2 linked regions of the Oryctolagus cuniculus genome follow. The protein of the gene in region 1 purifies or fractionates together with the protein of each later gene. This does not show direct contact. Links are inferred from orthologs where the notes say so. Each region holds a gene or a part of one and is shown in the gene's direction. Other genes may lie near its edges.

Region 1 (5,731 bases):
CTATTCATTACTTCTGTATCCTCAATGAGCTATCCAGCTTGCAGGTCTCTCTACTCATATTTGCTCAAGCTGAATCCTTTGGCAAACAATTTCAAAAACACAAACATGTCTAAGCAATTTGCTGAAGGTATGGGTAGCAATATGGAGGACAGCATTACTGAACTATCTCAACCCACTTCCAGATACTTCTGTGGGGCAGGAATGGTGCTTGGGATGCTGAAGATTCTCCAAGATAGGCTCTTTCCAAAGAGATCATAAATTTCTACAAGATAGAACCGAGCAATGAATGAATTTCAAAGTAGTAAGTGCTTGTGGTTGTGCTCTACATGAGACCATACAGATGAGTTGCATGGGACTCCTGCCCTGCAGAAAGCTTAGAGCCTAACAGGGAAGACTGAAGAATATATTTAGATTGTTGGTCACACATTAGTAGAGGTTTGTGTCAAGCAATGTAAGTGCATAAAAAGGGAAGCCACTGAATCCACCTTCTGACTGGCACAGGGCTTCACTGAGAAGGATTCATTTGTTCTAAGTGTCAAAAGGTCCTTAAAGAAAGGATCTTTCGAGTCAAAGGAACAGGGAACGTATGTGTGAGGTACAGAAGTGAGAAAGATTATCACATTTTAAAGAGCCTAGGTAATTCATGTATCTAAGACATGACTGGAGATGTTAGTTGGAGACAAACTGAAGGGTCTTATAAATGAAATTCAAGAAGTGAGATTTTACCCCTTAGAAATGAAAATCATCATTTGAGGTTTTAAAACCAGGCTAAGAGAGAGGAATAAGATCTGTGTTTAGGTAGCTAATGTTGGTAGCAGTGTAACCAGTACTTTACTGGGGAGACCAGTTAGAAAGTTAAACAGTATTTCAGAAAGAGATGAAGACATGAAGTTGGCCTTTAGAATTAAGAACTGGTGAGAATGACTAGATGTAGGACACAGGTTCCTGGTGGCCTAGCAGCAGTAAGCTAGCTGACTGGGACTTCATTCACTTACTACCCTGGATGTTCGCCTTAGATCGAGGTTGGATGCCTCAGTCTGTGGCTCCTTACATCCATTCGTCTCCTTATTGTTTGGTGTGCTACTAGGGACATGGCCTTTAGCATCCCTAGCCTCCTCTAGCTGTCTAGCTTCCCTTCTGCATTCCTCAAGGTTCAACAGGATTCAAAAACAAATGTCTTTGATGACATCTGCCTAAAATAATCTTTACTTCCTTTGGATTTTCATAATATGAATTTTAAACAGCACACTAAATCTTAGTGTCCAGTAAAATGGCTTTTCACAACAGAGGATTATTCATGTGTTTTGTGCAGGGGCCAGTGCTGTGGTGTAGTAGGCTAAGCCTCTGCCTGTGGTGCCAGCATCCCATGTGGGCGCCAGTTTGTGTCCCAGCTGCTCCTCTTCCAATCCAGTTCTTGGTATGATCTAGGAAAGTAGCAGAAGATGGTCCAAGTGCTTGGGCTCCTGCACCTGTTTGGGAGACCCAGAAGTTCCTGGCTCTTGGCTTCGGATCAGCCCAGCTCTGGCCATTGCAGCCATTTGGGGAGTGAACCAGCGGATGAAGACTTACTTTCTCTCTCTCTCTCTCTCTCCCTCCCTCCTACCTCCCTCCCTCTCTCTCTCCCCTTTGTAACACTGCCTCTCAAATAAATAAAATCTTTTTAAAAAGAAAAACAAAAATCTGCTGTGTAGCTATTTGTGTTCAGTTTTATACTAAATTACTATTAGAATATTTGTGAGAGGTGGTTGTATAGGTACGAGAATATAAGTGTCCTGGGGAGAAAAGGAAAACTGGTATAAAAAACATTTGTTGCCAACTGGTTGTGTGGAAATAATTTAGTATTTACTAATTTAGGTCTGAAAATTATAACTGGAAAAAGTTAAAACCAATAGCACTATTGATTAAATTGTTTAAGTATTTTATAAAAAGTTATAATGAATTTGCATAATTCCTCATGAACCAACACACACAGTAACCAGAATTATTTCCCTCTGGAAGTTTAATGAAGCTACTTGAGGATACTGTGGAGAAACATGAGCTATATATCTACCTTTAGGCCAATCCCAAATGTAAGCATTTGTCTTCCCAATGTGATTTCCAAGTTTTTCTTGTTCCATGTTCAACTGAAAGTGCTCAGGGTAACTACAACTCCAATCTCGCCTGCCATTAACAGCCTTTTGTGTATGTTTCTTTTAAATTATTCCAGGCAGATGCACCTAATCCAGGACTCATTCCAGATGCTGATGCAGTAGGCGTAACAGTTGTGCTAATTACTTGTACCTATCGAGGTCAAGAATTTATTAGAGTTGGCTACTATGTAAATAATGAATATACTGAGACAGAATTAAGGGAAAATCCGCCAGTAAAACCAGACTTTTCTAAGGTAATGTCTTACTATTCCTTTTTAATTACTGTTACTATACAATTTTTTAGGCAGTTTGAGACAAAGTAAATTTGATGTCTTTGGGCCAGCTGGGCAAACTAATCATTGTTCCCTTACCATGGGTGACCTCAAACCCTTTCTCTATGCAAGTCATTAAGTATCTCTGATAAGAAATGGGCACTTGTTTACTGCTTCTTATATGGCATTTCCCATAGATCATGTTCACTTCAGCTTTTATGACATGGAAGTCTGTGTTTGTGTCTGCTTTTCATATAAACAGTTATCTATGCTTATATCAAAGTACCTATATGCTTTAGTTTTATTCTGTAGGAACAGCAGATAAAGTAAAGGTCTTAAATATTTCAGGTGATAGCAAATAGCTTAAACACTGAGAAGCTGAAATCTGTGATTCATTATTCTCAAGGATACTTAGTACCTTTATGGTTTTTCATTGGGAACTGTAACAGTTTACTAACTGGTGATTTTGAGAGGGTGCAAATCAAGTGAAGTTGAATAGGGCCCTCTGTCTGCCAGGCAATACAAGGAAAGTCACATGGCAGTAGAATAAAGTTCAACTTTCTGGTAATAAGGCTAGAATGTTTTTCATCCTGGCCAATCCTTTCATAGATCAAATTTATTGGTTATCTGTTTGGTAACTTGTACAACAGAAAAGAGAAGAAACTAGACTATTGTTTCCAAAAATGAACCATAATATTTAAAAGGTAGGAAATCACTAATAGCAAGAAGATGTATTTGGGAGAAATTTTCTTTCCCTTCTTAGGAAATAGAAGTACAAGAGTAGAAGAATAGATATTTCATAGTATAGTAAAAGATCTGAATGAATTCCCTCAGATTCTCCATATCTTGTTCCTATTAAGCCAAAATAATTGCTATGGTCCTAGTCCTTGTTTATTAGTTATGCTAAAGTGCTTTATTTGTCCTATACTTCTGTATATGAACGTAACCCTTCAGGAGTGCTAACATAAAGGACCCATTTCTTTAAGTATCTATTTGCATAGGGTGATTAAACTTTGGTAATGTTTACCATTTATATATTTCCTTCTTCTAGCTTCAAAGGAACATTTTGGCATCTAATCCCAGGGTCACAAGATTCCACATTAATTGGGAAGACAACACAGAAAAACTGGAAGATGCAGAGAGCAGTAATCCAAATCTACAGTCACTTCTGTCAACAGATGCATTACCTTCTGCCTCAAAGGGATGGTCCACGTCAGAAAACTCACTAAATGTCATGTTAGAATCCCACATGGACTGCATGTGACCACCTGCCATCCCTTTAGTACAAATTAAGCTATTAAAAATACACAGAACTATTTCCCTGAAATTCCGTAAGTACATAGTCAAGACAAAATGTGAAGAATTTGTTTAAAAACATCCTGTAGAAAGTTTATAAGAAAACCAGTATTTGAGCAAATTGTGGAATATAAATACAACTATTTTTAAGTAATTTTTTCTCTAATGTGTTATTTTATTTGTTCTGAAACTAATTTGATTAAAGCATATATATTATTTTTCTTCTCCTTTATATGTAATTAAAGCACTTATAAAGAAAAATATAAATCCTTAGACCAGGTTGTGAAGATGTCTTAGCCTCTCGGACAGTAATCTTTGGAACATTATTTTTTCTGGCCTTTGAAAAAAGAAAGTTCACTTCAACTAAGATGTTTCTTCCTGTTAAAACATAAAGTGTGGTTTTAATTTAAGGGGAAACTTTCCATTCCTTTTTGGCATGACTTTAAAAGGGGGATTGAAATGAATTATATGCTACCAAGGACTTTAGGATCTGTCCTTTTCAGGCCACCCTGAAGCCTTTTATGGTTACTATTACAATTAATGTAATGTGGGGCAGCATTTGCTTTAGTTTCTAAGATAACGAATGTACCTACATGTTTATAAAGTTCTTTGGGCTATGGTGTTTGTTTTTATAATGGTTATACAAAATTAAGACATCAGAGCACTTCTTGAATTGCTCATCATTACTGCCCAGTGAATTCAGCAAGTCAAGAACAAATACTTCCTAAGTTTAAGGATACAAGATTTAATGGCTCAAATCTGCTCATTAGATTTATAAAAATAGTGAGAACTTTTAAAAACTCGTAGTCATCTATTGTTGGCAGTACTTAAAAAAAAGTAGACTTAGAAAAGTATTTTAGCTTTATCAAAATATATAATTTACTGCTTTGGAAATACTACCTTGTCCCATATCCTCTTACAGTCATGAAGAATAAGATCAGATATTATGCATGGTGGACATATTCTAGGTAGCTTTGCCAGATTACAACTTGTTGAAAAGCAGTCTTGGAAAGGAATTCATAAACCAGATGGGCCAAAAGTTTTGTTTTCTTTGAGAGTTAGGTCCTTCTTCAGAAATTCTTTATGCTCCATTAAAGTAAGGGTAGAATATTATTTTTATTCTCGCTGCAAAGCACGACAGCCATATGATGCAGGTTATGCAGTGCCTTCATATCTAAAACTTTTATACTGCACTTTTAAAAGTTTATTTTCAGGAAAGGAAAGGGCATTTAAATATGGATTCTAGGTTGTAATAAGTGCTATAAAAGTGAATTTGTGAAGCAAAGTTTCGCTAAGTGTTAAATCTTGAAATTTAATACCAGATTATTAAAATATTGTCCATTAACTAGTTCATAGATTTTAAAAGTTAAAATACTTCTGACTGTTAAAAGTTTGAGAGTCTCATTTTTGTCTAATTGCAATTAAAAGAAAATGTTAAACAATAAAAATAAAATACTTTTCAAAAAAGCTCAGTGATTAATATAACAAGATGTACTTGTTAGAAATAAAGTATGTATAGCTAGATCACCAAATAAAGCAACTCACTACTGAGTTTTTATTCTAATTATGATCAGTGTCAGGTGACAAAGTGTTAGATTTTTATATCAATTTATAAATTTTCATTGAAGTTTGGGATTTAGAAACTATGATCTGTTATCTTAAATTTTATGGCTTCATGAATTTTTAAATACAAAAACTAAAACTGCAGCTCCAAGACTTCCTGTTTAGCCTCATTTATAGACACTATATACAAATAATAGCTAGAAGGTTTGAAGATATTTTCCCCTTCCTGATCACAGTAAATAGCTTATCCTGAGAATGTAAACATGAACAAATTATTTATGCCACTGAAAAGGTAAGTCAAGCAGGTTGGAGGGAACAAGGTTATCATTTGAGCTCAGCAACATCTAGGAAGTCTGAGGAAGCAAGTTTGTATTTGCCCATCATAGCATCATATAACCTTAGGCTTGTAGGTGGTTTTATTCACTAGTTTTAGGATTTGAGGTTTCTAGCAAACCTATGGCAGGAGTTTTG
Region 2 (7,414 bases), on another chromosome or scaffold:
GTTGAAATTATCAGTTGTACTTGGAGAGCCATTCCTAGTCTGAGATTATAAAGAACACTGTAAACAGAAACAGCACAGACTGGGCGTTTTGTGTACTGGTCCCACCACTGGTTAGGACACCTGGGGCTGATGCTGTGGTGTAGCCAGTAAAGCTGTGACTGCAGCACTGGCATCCCAAACAGACACTGCCATCTTCTACTGCTTTCCCAGGCCAAAGCAGAGAGCTGGATCAGAAGAAGAGCAGCCGGGACTAGAACCAGCACCCATATAGGATGCTGGTGCTTTAGGCAAGGACTTTAACCTGCTGCACCACAGCGCTGGCCCCTATAATGAAATTTCAAATGATGGAACAGAAAACATGATCTGGAGACACAGACATACAAAAAATTGTAAGAAACAGGTCAGTGCTGTGATACAGAGGGTTAAGACACCACCTGCAGTGCTAGCATCTCATATGGGTGCTGGTTCAAGTCCCAGCTGGTCCACTTCCAATCCAACTCTCGGCTGACGTGCCTGGAAAAGCAGTAAAAGATGACCTAAGTGCTTGGGCCTCTGTACCTGCATAGAAGAACTGGAAGAAGCTCCTGGCTCTTGGGGGCCTGTCCCAACTCTGGCTGTGGTGGCCATTTTGGGGGAGTGAACGAGCAGGTGGAAGATCTTTTTCTCTGTAACTCTGCCTTTCAAATAAATACAAAAGAAAGGAAGAAAGAAAGAACTAAGCAGAAGATAATATGAGCCATTAGGTAAAACAAACATATAGGGGTCAGTGCTGTCGTGCAGCTGGTAAAGCTGCTGCCTAGGACGCTTCAGATCAGCACAGCTCTGGCCATGTGGCCATCTGGGGAGTGAGCCAGAGCATGGAAGATCTCTGACTCTGCCTGTCAAGTAAATAAATCTTAAAAAACACACACAAACTGGGCCAGCACTATGGCTCACTTGGTTAATCCTCCGCCTGTGGCACCGGCATCCCATATGGGTGCCAGGTTCTCGTCCCGGTTGCTCCTCTTCCAGTCCAGCTCTGATGTGGCCTGGGAGGGCAGTGGAGGATGGCCCAAGTGCTTGGGCCCTGCACCTGCATGGGAGACCAGGAGGAAGCACGTGGCTCCTGGCTTCAGATCAGTGCAGTGCCTGCCGTAGCGGCCATTTTGGGGGTGAACCAATGGAAGGAAGACCTTTCTCTGTCTCTCTCTCTCACTATCTAACTCTATCTGTCAAATAATAACACACAAATAAATCAGTCCTCTATCTGCTGGTTCACAGGCTGGATCAGGCTGAAGCCAGGTGCCTGAAACTGCATTATGGTGTCCCATGTGGGCGGCAGGCACCCAAGTGCTTGGGTCATCTTTTGCTTGGTCCTCCTCTGCATGGTCCCTCTTCTGCTGCGTCCTCCTCTGTGTGATCCTCCTTTGCTTGGTCCTCCTCTGCTGGATTCTCCTGTGCTTGGTTCGTCTTCTGCTTGGTCCTCCCATGTTGGGTCCTCCTCTGCTTGGTTCATCTTCTGCTTGGTCCTCCTCTGCTAGTTCCTCCTTTGCTTGGTCCTCCTCTGCTGGGTTCTCCTGTGCTGGGTCACCCTTTGCTTGGGTCATCTTCTACTTGGTCCTCCTCTGCTGGGTTCTCCTGTGCTTGGTCCTCCTCTGCTTGGTTCATCTTCTGCTTGGTCCTCCTCTGCTTGGGTCATCTTCTGCTGCGTCCTCCTCCGCTGTTTCTCAGGAATCAAGACGAAAGCTGTGCCCGGAGCAGAGCCTCCAGGACCGGACTGGCACTCCCATATGGTTTGCCTGGTTGCAAGTGTCAGGTTGCGCTGGCCCCTGGCTTTGTTAGTCTGCCACAGAGACAATTTCACTAACTCGTCACATGAGAGCGAACCCTGGACCTACTAGGGATTTGTGGGCGACACCTCATCGCCCAGGGATCCCTTGGCAGGCAATCCAGCTGCCGTTAGCAGGAGGCTTGGGGTGATTTCCAGTGAGCGGCCTGCCTGTCCGGGACTCCTCGAGCCTCGGAGCCTGCAGACACGGCGCTCTCGCCCCAGGAGGCCCCATCTTCCGCGCGCCACTTCAGGTCCCCGCAAGCACTCTCAAAGCGCTGTGTGCTGGTTTCAGCACTTCAGGCCTGAAGCACGAGCCATAGCCGTTCCTTTCTTGCTTTCAAATTTCCGAATTAAGTTCCTTTCACGATGGCATAGGGAGACGTACATAGCACACTCCTGCGAGCGTGGAGCATTCTCCCCAACGCTCGCACTCTGGGAACCGGAGCTTCCTGCCTCTCCCTCAGCTTCCCGCATCTCCCTCGGCTTCCTACGTCTCCCTCAGGTTCCTGCCTCTCCCTCAGCTTCCTGCCTCTCCCTCAGCTTCCCGCATCTCCCTCGGCTTCCTACGTCTCCCTCAGGTTCCCGCTTCTCCCTCAGGTTCCTGCCTCTTCCCCGGCTTCCTTCCTCTCCCTCGGCTTCCCGCGTCTCCCTCAGGTTCCTGCCTCTTCCCCGGCTTCCTTCCTCTCCCTCGGCTTCCCGCGTCTCCCTCAGGTTCCTGCCTCTTCCCCGGCTTCCCGCGTCTCCCTCGGCTTCCCGCATCTCCCTCGGTTTCCCACGTCTCCCTCTGCTTCCCGCGTCTCCCTCGGCTTCCTGACGGTCTCTCGGCTTCCCGCGTCTCCCTCGGTTTCCCACGTCTCCCTCGGCTTCCTTCCTCTCCCTCGGCTTCCCGCGTCTCCCTCGGCTTCCTGACGGTCTCTCGGCTTCCCGCATCTCCCTCGGTTTCCCACGTCTCCCTCGGCTTCCTTCCTCTCCCTCGGCTTCCCGCGTCTCCCTCGGCTTCCCGCATCTCCCTCGGCTTCCTTCCTCTCCCTCGGCTTCCTGACGGTCTCTCGATTTCCCGCATCTCCCTCGGTTTCCCATGTCTCCCTCGGCTTCCTACGTCTCCTTCGGCTTCCTGACGGTCTCCCGGCTTCCCGCATCTCCCTCGGTTTCCTACGTCTCCGGCTTCCCACGTCTCTCTCGGCTTCCTGCCTCACCCTCGGCCTCCTTCCTTTCCCTCGGCCTCCTTCCTCTCCCTCAGCCTCCTTCCTCTCCCTCGGCCTCCTGCCTCGCCCTCAGCTTCCTCACCCGCCAGGCCGAGCAGGCCCCGCAGGAGGGGCGGCGCCGGCCGGCGGAGCCGGGGCCACTGCGGCCGCCACCCCCTGCCCGCTCGGTCCTCGGGGCGGCGGGGGCCGGTCCTCGCGCCCCTCAACCCTTCCTCCGTGACTTCCCCGAATCACCAACTCCCCTGAGCCGAGAGCCGGCGCGACGCGGCGGGCGGGCCCCGGCGCCATGGCGGCCCGGCTCGGCCCCACGCACGACCCCGACACTCGCGCCGGCCCAGGCCGGAACGCGCCTGCGGTTTCCGGGTGCGACTAGGAAGCGGCTCCGGAAGCCCAGACCCCCTCCCTGCGAGCCGGGCGGCCGACGGCGTCTCGGTTTCCAGGGAAACGGGCCGTGTCATGACGTCACTTCCGCCGAGCCGTGCGAGCTCCAGGCCGCCGGGAAGAAAAGAGGAAAACGGAGCCACAGCCACGACGGAGGACGCGAGCGTCTCCTCTCTGCGCATGCGCCCGCTCAGCGGCCTGCTTCTATTTATGTGGGGGATCCAACATGGCGGCTGCGGCGACCCTGGCGATGGCGGCGGAGCCCATCAGAACGTAGTGGCGGGGAAGGGGGCACGGTCCGCACTCACGGTGGCGTCGGCGGAGACGGCGGAGGGCGGTGGCGGGAAGAAAAGCGACGGAGAGCGCAAGGAAGGGCGGGCAGGCGGGCGGCGCGGCGTAGAAGCGCGCGCCGGCTCGCGCGAGAGCAGAGGGCCAGAACAGTGGGGATGGCGGAGCCGCGCCGAGTAGCGTTCATTAGCCTGTCACCGGCGAGGCGGCGCGAGGCCGAGTTCCCGGGGCCCGAGCGCGAGCCCGACTGCCCCCGCGAGGCGCCCCGGCCGGAGCCGCAGCCGTACCGCGAGCCGGCCCGCGCGGAGCCGCCGGGCCCCCGGGAGCCGGGCCCCCGCTCGGACGCGCAGCCCCCGGCGCGGGAGAAGCCGCCGCCGCCGCAGCGCGAGGGCAGCCGCGCCGAGCCGCCCATGGCGCCGCCGCAGCGCGAGCCCCCGCGGCCCGAGCCGCCGCCGCCGCCGCCGCCGCCGCCGCGGGAGGCGGCCTCCCGGGCCGAGCCGCCGCCGCGGGAGACGGTGCGCCTGGAGCTGGTGCTCAAGGACCCCACGGACGAGAGCTGCGTGGAGTTCAGTTACCCGGAGCTGCTGCTGTGCGGGGAGCAACGGGTACAGAGGACCGGGGCCGCGCGGGCGGGCGGGCTCCCGCGACACGCGGGGGCCCCGGGGCGCTCCCGCGGGCGGGAGGGGAGGCGGCGGACACGCCCCCGCGGCGAGCCGGCCGGGGTCGCCCGCGCCCCGCGGCGAGGCTGGCGGGCGCCGTGGCCGCCCAGGCCGGTGCGTGCGCGCGGGGCGCGGCGTCCTTGCTCGCCCGGTGCGGTGGGCGCTCTGCGCCGGCCCTCTGCGGAGTGGGTCCGTGTGGGGGTCGTGAGGGGCGGCCCCTGCCAGCCTTGCTCGGCGCCCGCCCGGCCTGTGTGGCACTCGTTGAGACGTCCAGGTTGGCGGACGTTGCTGGGCCGGGTAATTTTCGTAGAACGATGAAAAGCCCAGCTTGGATTTTCTACAACTTTGCTGGAAATCCAGAGGTGTGCCTTTGGTGAGACTGGACAATGGGACAAGGCAGGCTTCTTGGCCGCTGTGGTCTCTGTCGGGTGCGTGGTGGTCTGCCCTGTGCGAGGTTAGCCTGGCGCAGCCCACGGACTGCACAGCCCCTGGTTCTGCCTCACCCTCGCTGTCTTTATGAACTAGGTAGGAGTGAGTAAGCGCTTGGTCACAAAGTATCACATTATTTAACAATGTCTCTGGGTTTGTTTTATGGCCGGGTGACTGACGATTATTTATGAACACTGTTGCATGGTCAAATCGTTAGTGATTCCGCCAGATAGAGCACAGATTTGGGCACTTCCACATCCCACGTCTGCCCTTTAGACTCACTGTCCCGCCTCTTCATAGCTTCTCCCAAAAGAATACTGAAAATAGTGGGTTGTAGCATTCCTAAGTAGCTTGTATTCTACCTGCTAATCTAAGTCGGTGTGCAGTCTTTGTAATTTTCCTAAATTGCAGATGAGAAGCGTTATCTTTGGGTCGAAACAGTAACAGCTAACATGCACTGATTTTGTACTATATGCTAATACAGCTGTAAGCGCTGGACCTGGTTTATCTGGGTTAGTCCAGCAGAACTCCATAGGTAAGAACCGGTATCCCTGTGTTACAAATGAGGGTAACGCAGAAGGTTGTATGTAATTTTTCAGTTCTTCTTTCCGCAGGAGTACTGATTCTTAGTAAACGTTTTTTGTAATAAACGTGTATACTTGAAATTTAGAGGATCCCACCAAAATGAAGTAAAATCAGTCATTTAACAATGTAAAGACCTCCATGGTGATCCTCTTTATGCTGTAATATTAATGCTATCAGACATTAATGATATGTATTCTTATTTATAGAAAAATTCAGAAGGCTAGTTTTTTCACACCCGAGTTTTATCACGTGTCACCCAGTGACAGGCTGTGTTCTGAGAGGCGCACTCGTGCACGCATCGCAGCATGTTTGTGCAGTTAGGTGGCACAGTGTCCTGGGCACCTGGGACACTCGGTGTAGGCGTCCTGTGGTGAGCTGTCAGTGGTTTCATGGAATAGGGGAAAGGTGAATCGTTCCATTTGTTGTGTTTACTTGATATATGCTATCAATTTAGGGGTTTATTTGCCCAGTTTTATTGTTTATCTAACTGTGTATCTCGTCATACTCCTGAACAAACAAAAAATGTTTTATGCAGGGCACCTTTGCAACAAAGATTTGCCAGTTTTTTCCTGTGGTTACTCTCAGTGAATATATTGCTTACATAAGTATAGAAAATACCTTTTTAAGTAAAATTGTCATAGTTCCATGAAAGGTAATCCTAGATGAGAGCCTGAGAAAGCACAGTGTTAACATTAGAGTTGGATAGAAATGGATGATCCCCAAATTTGGTTTTTCCTCCCTTTTCATTTGGAGAGCTCATTTATTTTTAAGGATGTAGTATTTTCAAAAGAACTTTAAATTTGAATTAACTATTATTGAACAGTGTATCTTGTAGCAGGCTGAAGTAGAAAGCTGAGGAAGAGATCTTGTAATATGAAGAAAAATGCCTTCACGTTTTTGAAGTAGCTGTCACTGAACAAGATGTTGGCTCTCGGTCAGTGTGGTGCTGGGGGCCACCTCTGTCGGGGTACATTTACACCAGCCCCCTTGAACACTAACAGTCAGAATTTCGTATTCTCTTTATGAATGAATAAAAGCACAACTGAGTAAACGTGCACTGGGAAAATGTGAGGACCCAGCTTCCAGCTTGTCGGTGTGCAGAGTGCCTAAGCCCTTGTTAGTTCTCGCTGTTCTGTGCTGGGTTGAGGGGCGGGGGCGGCTGAGCCCCGGTAATCTCTGTCCTCAGAGTGACGAGTTCACCATTCCAGGCCAAAGCTGAAGGAGCGTGCGTTTGTCAGTGATTGATCCACAGAAAAAAAGACATTTTGACTCGTAAACAGAATCAGTTAATAGATGGTACATTTGTGGATACAATTAATTGAGGCTGTACTGTGAAAAGGGAGGGAACACAGTGTTCCTGTAACTGCACTGTTGCGGAGTTCCGTGGCCTGCCACTGCTTGGCCGGCTGCGGATTGCGGGTGAGTTGTCGAAGGTGTCCTGAGCGTGCTGGCAGTGAGTTCGAGTCCAAGGGCACAGTTACTGCCTAGTTGTGCATGTGGTTGGTTGGCCATTTCAGATTTTTCGTTCACTTGGAGAAGCAGCGATTCCTGATTCCTCTTGATTTGAGGTTGGGGAGGGGTGACAGTGATTCACTTACTTGAAAGGCAGCATGACTGAGGTACATCTTCCATCTGTGGGTCACTCCTTCAGATGGTCACCAGAGCCAGGGCTGAGCCAGGAGCCCAAGCGCTTAAGCCATCGGCCATCGCTGGCTTTCCAGGTGCTTTACTGGAGGTGGATTGGAGGCAGAGCAGCTGAGACTCAAACTGGCCCTCAGATAATGGGATGCTGGCCTTGCAAGGGCAACCTAACTGTGCCCGACACCAGCCCTTGGGGGTGGGGTGGGGTTGTTCTTAACTCTAAAAGAAAAATAAGTCAAAAAATGTTATAGCCTGTCAATAATAAAAGACTTTTGGAGCCTTTGTAAAGCATGTAAGATATTTCAGGCACTCGTCTTTAAGTGAGAGAGGCATGTGTGTTCCTATCTGCACACATACGTGGGGCAGACTGGTGGTAAGACCTGGGGTTGGACTTCTCCGTCATGGGAGGGAACAGT

What was found.
Region 2: the proteins of ASF1A (region 1) and UBN2 purify together in Homo sapiens (affinity purification with mass spectrometry; 3 studies listed by BioGRID and IntAct, counting the BioPlex papers as one, with this or other methods). This does not show direct contact. The link is inferred for Oryctolagus cuniculus from reciprocal best matches to the Homo sapiens genes ASF1A and UBN2.

What each region holds. Positions count from the first base shown.
Region 1 is NC_091436.1:51,458,186-51,463,916, reverse strand, and holds the end of ASF1A (histone chaperone ASF1A), read left to right. Parts: exon of another isoform or gene 1-167; coding exon of another isoform or gene 168-262; intron 263-2,206; coding exon 2,207-2,383; intron 2,384-3,452; coding exon 3,453-3,665; downstream 3,666-5,731. UniProt on the Homo sapiens protein: Histone chaperone that facilitates histone deposition and histone exchange and removal during nucleosome assembly and disassembly.
Region 2 is NC_091434.1:184,736,383-184,743,796, reverse strand, and holds the start of UBN2 (ubinuclein-2), read left to right. Parts: upstream 1-3,493; 5' UTR 3,494-3,842; coding exon 3,843-4,289; intron 4,290-7,414.